Linked DNA regions of Caenorhabditis elegans. The protein of the gene in region 2 purifies or fractionates together with the protein of the main gene of each other region. This does not show direct contact. Each region holds a gene or a part of one and is shown on either strand. Other genes may lie near its edges. The genes, in order: madf-3 and herc-1.

Region 1 (6,806 bases), on a different chromosome or scaffold from region 2:
TTTTTTGCAAATGCTAAAACAATTTCCAAGTAAAAAAAATCATGTATTCAGTGGGCAAGCAGCGGTGAAAGTGGTCAATGTAAAATGATGGATTACGGGAATACAAAACCTAAACTTTTTCTGAAACATGATACATATGCTGCTTAAATGCTGAGACTACCTGATTTTCATAACGAGACCGCTAAGAAAGTTTTGAGGTTTCCAAAATTCAACTTTTTTGGTGAAAAAGTCGAGATTTTCGCACAAAAAAATTGAATTTTGAAAACCTCAAAACTTTTTCAGCGGTCTCGTTATGAAAATCAGGTAATTTCAGCATCTAAGCATCATATGTATCATGTTTCAGAAAAAGTTTAGGTTTTGTATTCCCGTAATCCATCATATTACATTGACCACTTTCACCGCTGCTTGCCCACTGAATGCATGATTTTTTCACTTGGAAATTGGAAATTGTTTTAGCATCTGCAAAAAATATTTATTTATCAGTTTTATTAAGAAAAAACGAAAAAAATCGATGAAAAACGAAAGAAAACAGGCGGAAAACAAAGCAAGATAAATGGCCGCTGAAACTTGTCGGCCCCTCGGCCATGGCCTAGAAACCACTTTTCCTCGTCCCTCGCGAGGAAAAAGTTGCAGTGTAACTTTCAGACTTCGCGGTGAGACCCATCCGCAAAAAATTTTTCAAAATTTTTCAAAAAACACAGATAAAAAGTAGGTTTTGAACACCTTAAAAGAGGTAAATTTACAACAAAAAATCCAAATTTTCTAGGATAAAAATCAATTATTCATGAAATAAAAGGACCTGAGATAGGAAAGACGGCGATGGAAATTAAGAAACTGCCCACAAAAATTACAAAAAAAAATACAGATACAGAAATATTGTACAAATATGAAAATATGATGAGACCAGTTGATGGGATAAAGATCAAAAAAATTGGAAATAAATGCGCCAAGACTACAGTACCTGGGGTCTCGAAGCGACAATTTTTGTTAAGTGCGTGTGTAAAGGTGTGCGCCTTTAAAGAGTACTGTAACTTCAAAAATTCGTGAATTTTCATCAATTTTTCATAGTTTTTCGATAAAAAAGACAATAAATTTTCACAAATTGTGAGAAAAACTCGACAAAAATTCACAGTTAAACACAGTACTCTTTAAAGGCGCACACTTTTTTCAATTTTCAACTTATCAAAAAAAAAGTTTTCAACTTATCAATTTGGGTCGTGGCGAGACCCGGCTTGGGGTAAAATCGAAGAAATTTCGAGGTTGGGTAATAAAAAGTGGACAAAAAATTGAAAATTTCGGCTAGAAAATTCAATAAAAATCACAAATAATTAGGAGCAGGTGTAGACGGAGGTTTAGCGGATTCCAAAAGTATCATAATCTGCTGCTTTGCAATTATTCGTGCTTCTTCTCCAAGTGTCCTTAGATCCGATACAATTGATGCAGAGAATGCAGAATCTCCGTCGAGAAGTACATCACCGTTGTTTGGTCGCTTTTCAGCCATCATCACGTAGTTTATGCTGGAAATTTCAGGGGTTTATTGATTTTTTTTTTGGCAAAATAAAATTATTATTTTGGAATTATCTGTGATTACTTGTCGGAAAAAATTGCACCAAATCATCAAGTTTTCGCAAATTCCAAATTTTTAAAATTTCATTTTTCTAAATCTTTGAATTTTTTTTTTTGAAAATTTTTCAATTTTTCTAGAGAATCTAATAGAAATCACCGAAAATTGTCTTAAAACCGCCACTATTTGCTTCCGACCAATCAGCGCCCGACTCCGCGCAATTCCGAACCAATCAGCGGCACAGGTCGTCGCTGATTGGTTCAAAAAAGAGAAGGGGCCGAGCGCTGATTGGTTAGAAGTTGATCAATTTTAGAGTCAAATTTCCTCTTTTTTTTTCATCAACTTTTTGCTCATTTTAGCTCACTCACTCATCATCGTAATCTCCATAATCTGACATTTCATCCTGATTTCCTCCGTCATTGTTTCCCCCTCGTTTCAGACTTCGAGCACATCGAGATAGTTGCTCTGCAAAATTTTAGTTTTTTTTAAAGTATTTATTCCGGCGATTTTAGGAGCCACGTAAAATAATACATGGAACTGCGTAATTCGTAATTTCACATATGGCGGTGCGAAATTTTTTACATGTCAAAACAAGAGTTCTAAAACTAAACTCTTTTTTCGTATTTATATTGAGGAAAAAAAACGATTTTAAAGCTGGAGGAGTAGGAGTAAATGAGGGATTTTACTTCAAAATGCGCAAACTGATCCTGAATCTCTCTGCATCCACACTATTGTCCGTAGATCTGCATCCGCACTATTGTCTTCACTTGCGAGGAAAAAACGGGAAAAACTAGAATTAACGTCGCGCAGATACAGATCTACGGAGTGCGGCGCTGAAAAAGGCGCGGCAATTTAAATGATTAGGAGATTAGTCAGAATTGAAAATTAACCAAAATCAACCGATTTTTTTTCAAACTTAATGATTTTTGATTTTTTTTTTCGGGGGCCTTTTATGGTATTTCGGCATTCAGGATCAGTTTGATTTAAAGGTTTTTTGTTTTAATTTTCCAGGAAAAAAAGCTCGTACGTTCATCCAAATGCTGATCTATCCAAGCCATATCATCATACATCTCCCAAGTTGACACATCTTGAACATTCGGATCACCCTGAAGTTGCTAAGAAAAATTTGTAAAATTTCTGTTTAAAACAAAAATAGAGGCTCCACGAAAACGGGATACTGTTGAGAAAGGGGATTCTGGCACTGTGCCAATTTTTTCTCAAAGAAAAATTGAGTTTTGTGCGTTGGCAGTGCCAGGCAGGGAGGGGCAAACGATTTTTTCCGGCAATTCCGGCAAATTTCCAACTTGCCGAATTTGTCGAAAATCGAAATTTCCGGCAAACCGGCAAATCAGCAAATTGCCCGAAATTAAAACTTCCGGCAAATCGCCAAATAGGCAATATCCCGAAAATAAAAATATTCCGGCAAATCGCCAAATTGCCTAAAATTAGAATTTCCGGCAAATCGCCAAACCGGAAATTTGCCGAATATCAAAATTTCCGGCAAATCGCCAAATTTGCCGTTTATCAAAATTTCCGGCAAATCGCCAAATTTGCCGTTTATCAAAATTTCCGGCAAATCGCCAAATCGGCAACTTGCCAAAAATCAAAATTTCCGGCAAATAGGCAATTTTCCAAAAATCAAAATTTCGGGCAAATCGCCAAATTGCCTAAAATTAAAAATTCCGGCATATCGGCAAAATGCCCAAAATGAAAACTTCCGGCAAATAGGCAATTTGCCAAAAATCAAAATTTCCGGAAAACCGGCAAATTGCCTAAAATTAGAATTTCCGGCAAATCGTCACTTTGCCGGGAATCAAAATTTCCGGCAAATAGGTAAACCGGCAACTGCCGCCTGCCAGATCCCATTTTCCATAAGTTCTCCTTTTCATGAGGCCTCCAAATGCCTACCAAATTCCTCAGCCTCCTCTTCTCCCTAACATATCGATCTCGATGCTTCTTCCATTGTTTATAAATCGACGGAACTGTTCCAGGATATCGTAGTTTATCAATAATCATTCCCCATGCTTGAGTACGACAGTCTCCATGACGATATTTTGGATCACGAACATCATAAAGACACGGATGCCTTCTCACTTCAAGAATTAGATTTTTTCCAAAACATGGCTCAGCAATCTTTTCATGAACTCCAGTTGGCTCTTTTCGAGATGGTGATATTTCTGCTCGATCTGTCATATGTGGATCTAGAAAATGAAGATGTTTGAAATATTGCCATGATGATTTCTCATTTCCATATTTTTGTTTTCTCTTCTCTTTTCCATATTTATCTCTTAATTGCTTCCATCTCGCAGATAACATTCTCGGATCACCATCAAAACCGAGTACAGTAACCAGACGCTGCCAAACTCGATTTTTGTATTCTGTATTACGGTATTGTCGGTCTGTATTGTCGAAAAGGCATCGACTATGACGGACGGCTTCGATGAGACGTAGGTTGAATGTCGGTTCGATCATTTCCTCGCCGAAGCGGGTCGCTGTGTAGTTCCTGCAAAAAAAGGTTATTTATGATTTTTTTTAGAAAAATCAGATAATTTTCTGATTTTTTTAAGCGAACTTTTTTTTCGGAAAAATGCTTTTTGGGATTTTTTTGAGTGAATTTTTGATTTTTCTAATTTGAAAAAAAAAACTGATAACATCAAACTTTATCCAAAAATATGTTCTTAAAGGAAAACGCGATTTTTTGAATTTTTATCGAATATATAATTTTAAAAAATAGTTTTTCTGTCGGAAATTAATTTTTTTTTAAATTTTTTACAAAAAAAGCGCAGTTTTTTTTAAAAAGAAAATCGAGTATTTTTTCTCAAGAAAAAACACCTTAAGATTTTTAAAGATTTTTATCGAAAAAAAATGTGTTTTTAATGGAAGATCAAGTTTTTTTTTAATTCAATTTTTTTTGATAGAATATATAATTAAAAAATGGACTTGTTTCGAAAATTAACTTTTTTAAATTTTCGTATTAAAAAAATTGCAATTTTTTCGAAAAATCTGGTATTTTTCGAAGGTTTTTAGAAACATCTTTTTTTTAAAGTAAAAAACGTTTTTTTTTTTCGAAAAAAAGTGTTTGCAAAAACTGATTTTTTACCTTTTTAAAATAAAAAATTGTTTGTTGAAAAAAAAAAATTTTGACAACAAAAGTTTTTTTTTAATTTTTTTATTTAGTAGATTAAATTATTTTTAGCACTTCGTAAGTACTTACAATTAGAAAAATTTTCTTTTTTCATATATAAAAAATTGTTGATTTTTCGCCAATTTATCGGAAAATAAATTGGATCTTTTTTGAGAAAAATCTGATTTTTTTTTTCAAAAATTCGATTTTTCTAAATTTATCCAAATATCATTTTAAACTCACATATCGTATTGTTCTTCGTGATATAAATGCTGATAGTTGTGCTCACTGGAGATCATGATTAGCTGAAAGTGTTAGAGCAATCGCTTTTTGAGACGGCTTTTAGAGATATTATGAGGAAGGTTTTAAGGAAACCATTATGGGGAATAAAAAGAAAATAGATGTGATAGAAAATATTGATTTTTTTTCAAAAGAAATCAACAACAAAAAAACAAAACAAAACAAAAAAAGTAACAATTTAAATCTAAAACAACAGAAATCGCAAGCTCGTGTACTCCACGAGGAGAAGTAAAGTACTAGAATTTTGAATTTAACACTAAAAAAAAATGATTTTTTGCTTTAAATCCCAGAAAAAAAATGAGATTTTCAATTTTTGGTGATTTTTGGCAACTTAAAAATTTTAATTTTAAATTAAAAATTTGCATTTTGTTAACAGTTGCTGTTCGGCAAATTTCTTTGTCGACAAAATCGGCAAATCGGCGAATTGTCGACCTGCCGATTTACCGAACATAAATTTGCAGGAATTTTTTGGAAGAATTTTTACGAGACGGAAAAACTTGAAACTGTGCTTTTTTGAAATTTTTTTGTCGGTTTTCTAGATATTTTCATAGAATTTGCCAATTTTCAAATTAGATGTAGGAATAGTCATAGGATGCGTACAGTTTTGCCGATTAAAATTTAAATTCTGAAATATCAAAAAAAAAAAAGGTAAAAAATCGCAATTTGCCGAAAATCTATGGCAATTTCCGTTTTTTCGGCAAGTTGCAGGTTTGCCGATTTACCGCAAATTTTCAATTCCGGCAAATTTGCCGATTTGCCGGAAAAAAATCGTTTGCCGCAAACACAACTTTAAATGCCAAAAATATACCGTAATTTTAATTTGAAAAAGTGGAGATTTGCAATTTTTGGTAATTTTTGGCCACTTTTAATTGTTTTAATTGTTCAAAAATTTGCATTTTGTTAACAGTTTTCTGTAATTTTGAGCAAAAACTGTAAAAATTTTGCACTTCTCCACGAGGAGTACACGAGCCGCGTAAATCGACACAAGCTGAACAAAAATTACAATATTTAAAATGAATTCAATTTTCTTCCTTTTTCACTTTTTTCGCCGCCAATTTCTTCTGAAATCGATCTCTTTTATCCAATTGTCCACTAATTTTCTCCAGCTTTCTCTTGGAATTTGTCATTCTTCGAGTCCTCATTTCCTCCAAATGCCTATCAGCTTCATCTTCATCCATTCCACTCATCAGAAGCTCTTTTCTTCGATTAATCTCCTTTTTCTCTCCGAATTTCTGATTTTCCAGCTTCAACTCGGCTTCTTTCTTCGCCACAAGCACTTGGGTGACGTATTTGGTGACATGTTTTGGGCTGACCTGAAAAAAATGCGAAAATTAAGGGAATTTATTGATTAAAAAGTAGATTTTTTGTGTAGAGAAATGAAAAGAGACGGGGGAAAAAATGATGAAAAAAAAATTATTTGCGTCAATATAGAGAGAAACGCAGTCAACTAGAGAGTGAAAAATGAGAGGAAAATATTTTTTTTTGGCGTCATTGAAAGTGGAAGGAGTTTGGAAATTCAATATTTTGGCGGGAAATTCAAATTTTTTGAAAAAAAATGTTTCTTCCGCCTTTTTCGTGTTTTTAGCAGAAAAACTCGCTTTTTTCGAAAAAAAAATTAAAAATTTTCCTTTTTTATCCAAAATATGGCACTGGAAAATTACAAAAGAAGTGCAATTTTTGTTTTTTTTTCGCTTTTTTTCTAGATTTTCCGAAAAAAAAATATAGCTTCAAATTTAGGCAATTTTTCCCTATTTTTTGCCGAAAATTATATGTTTCTCATGTTTTTTGAAATCAAATTTTAGAAAAAAAATTCAATTT
Region 2 (4,951 bases):
AATAAAAGCGAGAAAAATTCGCTAAAATCAAGAAAAGTAGTAGCTGAAATTGAATTTTTCCCCTGATTCAAACCATTTTCATAAGCGTGGAAAATTTGAAAAATGAGCGCGGCAATTCAAATTTCAATTCAGAATTGATCGGTTTTTCTCTGGATTTCCATGATTTTTTGGTCGTCGTTGGTACAAAAATTATTAAAAGCAACAAAAAATGCTTCAAAATTAGCAAAAATTAGCAAAAAATTTCGCCGCCAATTCCTAACGAGACCCAACTTTTCTTTTGGCGTTGAAGCGGGATTACATTTTTATTTTTTATTTTCAAAAAAATCCAGCTTTCCGTTTTTGCAAATTATTCGAAAACAAATATTCCTTCAAAAGACGAAAAGTTTATTTTTCCTAAACTACAGTAATCCTACAGTACTACTACAGTACTCCTACAGTACCCCTACAGTACTACTACAGTACCCCGACCATATCCCCCCCACTAACCCCAAACCAATATCCATTCAAAAGAGAAAAAGTCAAATTTCCCTAAACTACAGTAATCCTACCGTACTCCTACAGTACCCCTACAGTACTACTACAGTACCCCGACCATATCCCCTTACTAAATTTTTCAATTTTTCAGGTTTTTGAGATACTTTTTGGACTTTTCCAGCAAAAATTTGAATTTTTTCACAAATTTCCAAATTTCTACCTTCATCCAACGCAATACAATGATTGGATCCAGACGCCACTTGTACAATATCATTAATCTCTTGAACACGTCGTGGTGTTCCCTGCCACGTGAATTTACTCTCCATTCCGAGTTGTCCGTGCTCATTGGAGCCCCAAGCGAAGACACGCCCATCGTCGGTTACGGAGACTGTGTGAGAACGGCCAGCAGAGATCTGAAAAATGGAATTTCTACGAGAAGGCGATCTATGGAAATTGGCTCTGCGAAAAGGAGATCCACGGAAAATGGATCTGAAGTAAGGGAATTTATGAAAAAAGCATCTACGAGAAGGTGATCAACCAGATGGGGATCTATGAGAAGGGGATCTGCGAGATTATTATTTTCGAAAATCGAATCTACGAAAGGGAGATTATACGGAAAGGCTATCTTTGAAAATGGGATCTACGAAAGGGGGAATTCTACGGAAATGGGATCTACGAGAAGGAGATCTACGGAGAGGGTAATTATGGAAAAAATCTACATTAAAGGCAAAAAGGGATCTATGGAAAATATATGTACAAAAAAGAGCATCTACGAAACGGAGATCTACGAGAAGAGAATCTACAAAAAAAGGGATCTGGGAGAAGAGGATCTAGGAATTAGCCATTCTACGAGAGGAGAATCTATGGAAAAGGATCTACAAAACGTCGTTCTGCGTAAAGGAGATCTCCGAGAAGGGAAGTCTATGGAAGGCAGATCTATGAAAAGAGAATTTACAAAAAAGAGAGCTGCGAGAAGGGTGATCTACGAAAAGAAGATCTACGGCAAAGGAATCTTCGAGAAGGGAGCTTGCACGAAACAGAGATCTACGAAACGGGAACCAAAATTAATTCTATGAGAAGGAGATTTACGAGAAGTGAATCTACCAAAAGAGTATCTGGGAGAAGAGGATCTAGAAATTTGCTATTCTACGAGAAGGGGATCAACAAGACGGAGATCTACGAAACGGGGATCTACGAGAAGAGAATTTACGCAAATGGGAACTATGGGAAGAGGATCTGCGAGATGGAAATCTAAGAAAAGGGGATTCCACGGAAAAAGAGTTTACAAAAATGAGATCTACGGGATTTTCTCGCCAAAAACTAGGGAAAAACGAAAAATTTTTTATTTTTCAAATGTTATTTAGCGAAAAAATATGGTAAAATCATTTTCTAATGGATTTTCGCCAAAAAAAAAACTCAAAGTTACCTGAATAATTTTCGCACTGCTTGTCCAAGAAACCGGATAAATCGAAAAAGAACCCTCAGTCCGACTGCCTCGTCCCAATTGTCCATCCATATTACTACCAACACTCCACATTTTGCCATCTTTTGTCAGGAATACTGTATGTTGTTCACCACACGTGACTGACGTCACTGCGGTTCCATCCATATCATTTGGAGCGCCAACTGAAATTTTGAACAATTTTCAGAGAAAATTCCGAGACGATTTTAAACTATTTTCACACAGTTTTTAAACAAATATTCAAAAAAAAAGAGTTTTTTAAAGATGCATACAATTTTGCTCCAAAGTAATCAATTTTTTTTCGTTAGGCAAATTGCCGATTTGCTGGAAATTTTCATTTTAGGCAAATTGCCGATTTGCCGGAAATTTTAATTTCTGGCTTTTTGCCGATTTGCCGGAATCTATCATTTTTGAAAAATTGCCGATTTGCCGGAATCTCTCATTTTCGGCAAATTGCCGATTTCCGGAAATTTTAAGTTCTGGCTTTTTGCCGGTTTGCCGGAATCTATCATTTTCGGCAAATTGCCGATTTGCCGGAAATTTTAATTTCTGGCTTTTTGCCGATTTGCCGGAATCTATCATTTTTGACAAATTGCCGATTTGCCGGAATCTCTCATTTTCGGCAAATTGCCGATTTCCGGAAATTTTAATTTTAGGCAAATTGTGGATTTGCAGAAAATTTTAATTTCTGGCTTTTTGCCGATTTGCCGGAATCTATCATTTTTGACAACTTGCCGATTTGCCGGAATCTTTCATTTTAGGAAAATTGCCGATTTGCCGGAACCTTTCATTTTAGGAAAATTGCCGATTTCCGGAACCTTTCATTTTAGGCAAATTGCCGATTTGCCGGAAATTTTCATTTTAGGCATATTGCCGATTTGCCGGAAATTTTCATTTTAGGCAAATTGTCGATATGCAGAAAATTTTAATTTCTGGCTTTTTGCCGGTTTGCCGGAATCTTCCATTTCCGGCAAAATGTCGGTTTGCCATTATTTCTTTAAAAAAGTTTTTTTTAAAGTTTTGTGAAAGATTTACAAAAATCTTCCAATTGTTTTTTTTTCATCCGAAATTTTTTAATTTTTAAAATTTAATTTCGGAATTAATTTTTTTTTCTGTTTTCTAATTTCTGCAACAAAAATAGCTCCGTACTAATTCTCTCGGGAACTTGAATCGTCGACTCGGAGAGCCGAACGCCGAGCTGTCCCTCGCCCGTGTGTCCACATCCGAGCAGCTCAGCTCGCATTTTCTGAAATCTGATTTTTTTAACAATTAAATTTTAAAAAAACAATCTAGAAAATATCATAGTGTGATCTCAACAACTTTAGTTTTTGAAGCAGTATCAGAGGAAAAAATCTGAAAAAAAAATTCAAATTTTTTCAAAAAAAAAAATCAAATAACAACTGCAACAACAATAAAGGGAACACGTTGTGACAGAATGTCTCATTTCGGTTTGATCTACCTAGATCTACAAAAAATGCGGGAGTTGAGACGCAGAGTTCTCAACTGATTTTGCACGATTAAAAACGTGCTGACGTCACAGTTTTTTGGGGAAAAATTCCCGCATTTTTTGTAGATCAAACAGAAATGAAACACTTTGGCACCACGTGAGGGAACAAAAAAAAATCGGTGGCCGAGTTTTTTCCACACGGCCACGTAGCAGAATTTATAACTGTGTAGGGGATAAATGGAGATAAATTAAAGGAGAAAAAAGAGATAACAAAAAAAAAACAAATTATTCAGTCATTTCTTGAACATTTTCTTCTGGAATTTCCAGAGTTTCAGCAGATTCTGGAGCATCAGTTGAGCTGCTGGACGGCTCCGCAGCCTTTGCGGCTTCTTCCTTGCGAGCCCACGCGGCTTCACGGTCTTGGGCGGCCTGAAAAATTGATTTTTTGGACAAAAATTTAACTTATTTCTCATGAAATTACTAACAATTTGTGAAAACTTCCAAAAAAATTTAGTTAAACTTTTTTATTAGTTTTTTTTCTTCAATTTTCAAATTATCCTATTTTTCTAAAAATAACAATTTTCCGGAAATTCTAATTTCTGGCAATTCGCCGGTTTGCTGATTTGCCGAAAATTCTAATTTCTGGCAATTTGCCAGTTTGCTGATTTGCCGGAAATTCTAATTTCTCGCAATTTGCCGATTTGCCGGAAAATTAAAATTCTGGCAATTTGCAGAAAATTTGATTTCTGGCAATCTGGCGGTTTGCCGATTTGCCGGAAATTTTAATTTCTGGCAATTTGCCAATTTGCCGGAGATTTTAATTTCTGGCAATTTGTCAGTTTGTTGATTTGCCGAAAATTCTAATTTCTGGAAATTTGCCGGCTTGCCGATTTGCCGAAAATTCTAATTTCTGGAAATTTGCCGGCTTGCCGATTTGCCGAAAATTCTAATTTCTGGCAATTTGCCGGTTTGCTGATTTGCCGAAAATTCTAATTTCTGGCAATTTGCCGATTTGCCGGAGATTTTAATTTCTGGCAATTTGTCAGTTTGCTGATTTGCCGGAAATTCTAATTTCTGGCAATTTGCCGGTTTGCTGATTTGCCGAAAATTCTAATTTCTGGCAATTTGCTGATTTGCCGGAGATTTTAATTTCTGGCAATTTGTCAGTTTGTTGATTTGCCGAAAATTCTAATTTCTGGCAATTTGCCGGCTTGCCGATTTGCCGAAAATTCTAATTTCTGGCAATTTGCCGGTTTGCTGATTTGCCGGAAATTCTAATTTCTGGCAATTTGCCGGTTTGCTGATTTGCCGGAAATTCTAATTTCTGGCAATTTGCCGGCTTGCCGATTTGCCGGAAATTCTAATTTCTGGCAATTTGCCGGTTTGCTGATTTGCCGGAAATTCTACTATCTGGCAATTTGCTGATTTGCCGGAAATTTTAATTTCTGGCAATTTTTCGGTTTGCCGGAAATTTTAATTTCTGGCAACTTGCCGATTTGCCGGAGATTTTAATTTCTGGCAATTTGCTGATTTGCCGGAGATTTTAATTTCTGGCAATTTGTCAGTTT

The links.
Region 1: the proteins of herc-1 (region 2) and madf-3 fractionate together in Caenorhabditis elegans (co-fractionation; one large-scale study listed by BioGRID). This does not show direct contact.

Annotation. Positions count from the first base shown.
Region 1 is NC_003280.10:4,332,937-4,339,742, reverse strand, and holds madf-3 (Alcohol dehydrogenase transcription factor myb/sant-like protein), read right to left. Parts: upstream 4,996-6,806; 5' UTR 4,932-4,995; intron 4,068-4,931; 5' UTR 4,037-4,067; coding exon 3,473-4,036; intron 2,671-3,472; coding exon 2,592-2,670; intron 2,030-2,591; coding exon 1,933-2,029; intron 1,518-1,932; coding exon 1,319-1,517; 3' UTR 705-1,318; downstream 1-704. Other genes in the region: H20J04.4 (RNA helicase), read right to left, coding at 6,008-6,301.
Region 2 is NC_003279.8:1,209,723-1,214,673, reverse strand, and holds the start of herc-1 (HECT domain-containing protein), read right to left. Parts: upstream 3,190-4,951; 5' UTR 3,180-3,189; coding exon 3,086-3,179; intron 2,101-3,085; coding exon 1,901-2,100; intron 888-1,900; coding exon 695-887; intron 1-694. Other genes in the region: nsun-2 (tRNA (cytosine(34)-C(5))-methyltransferase), read right to left, coding at 3,669-3,812.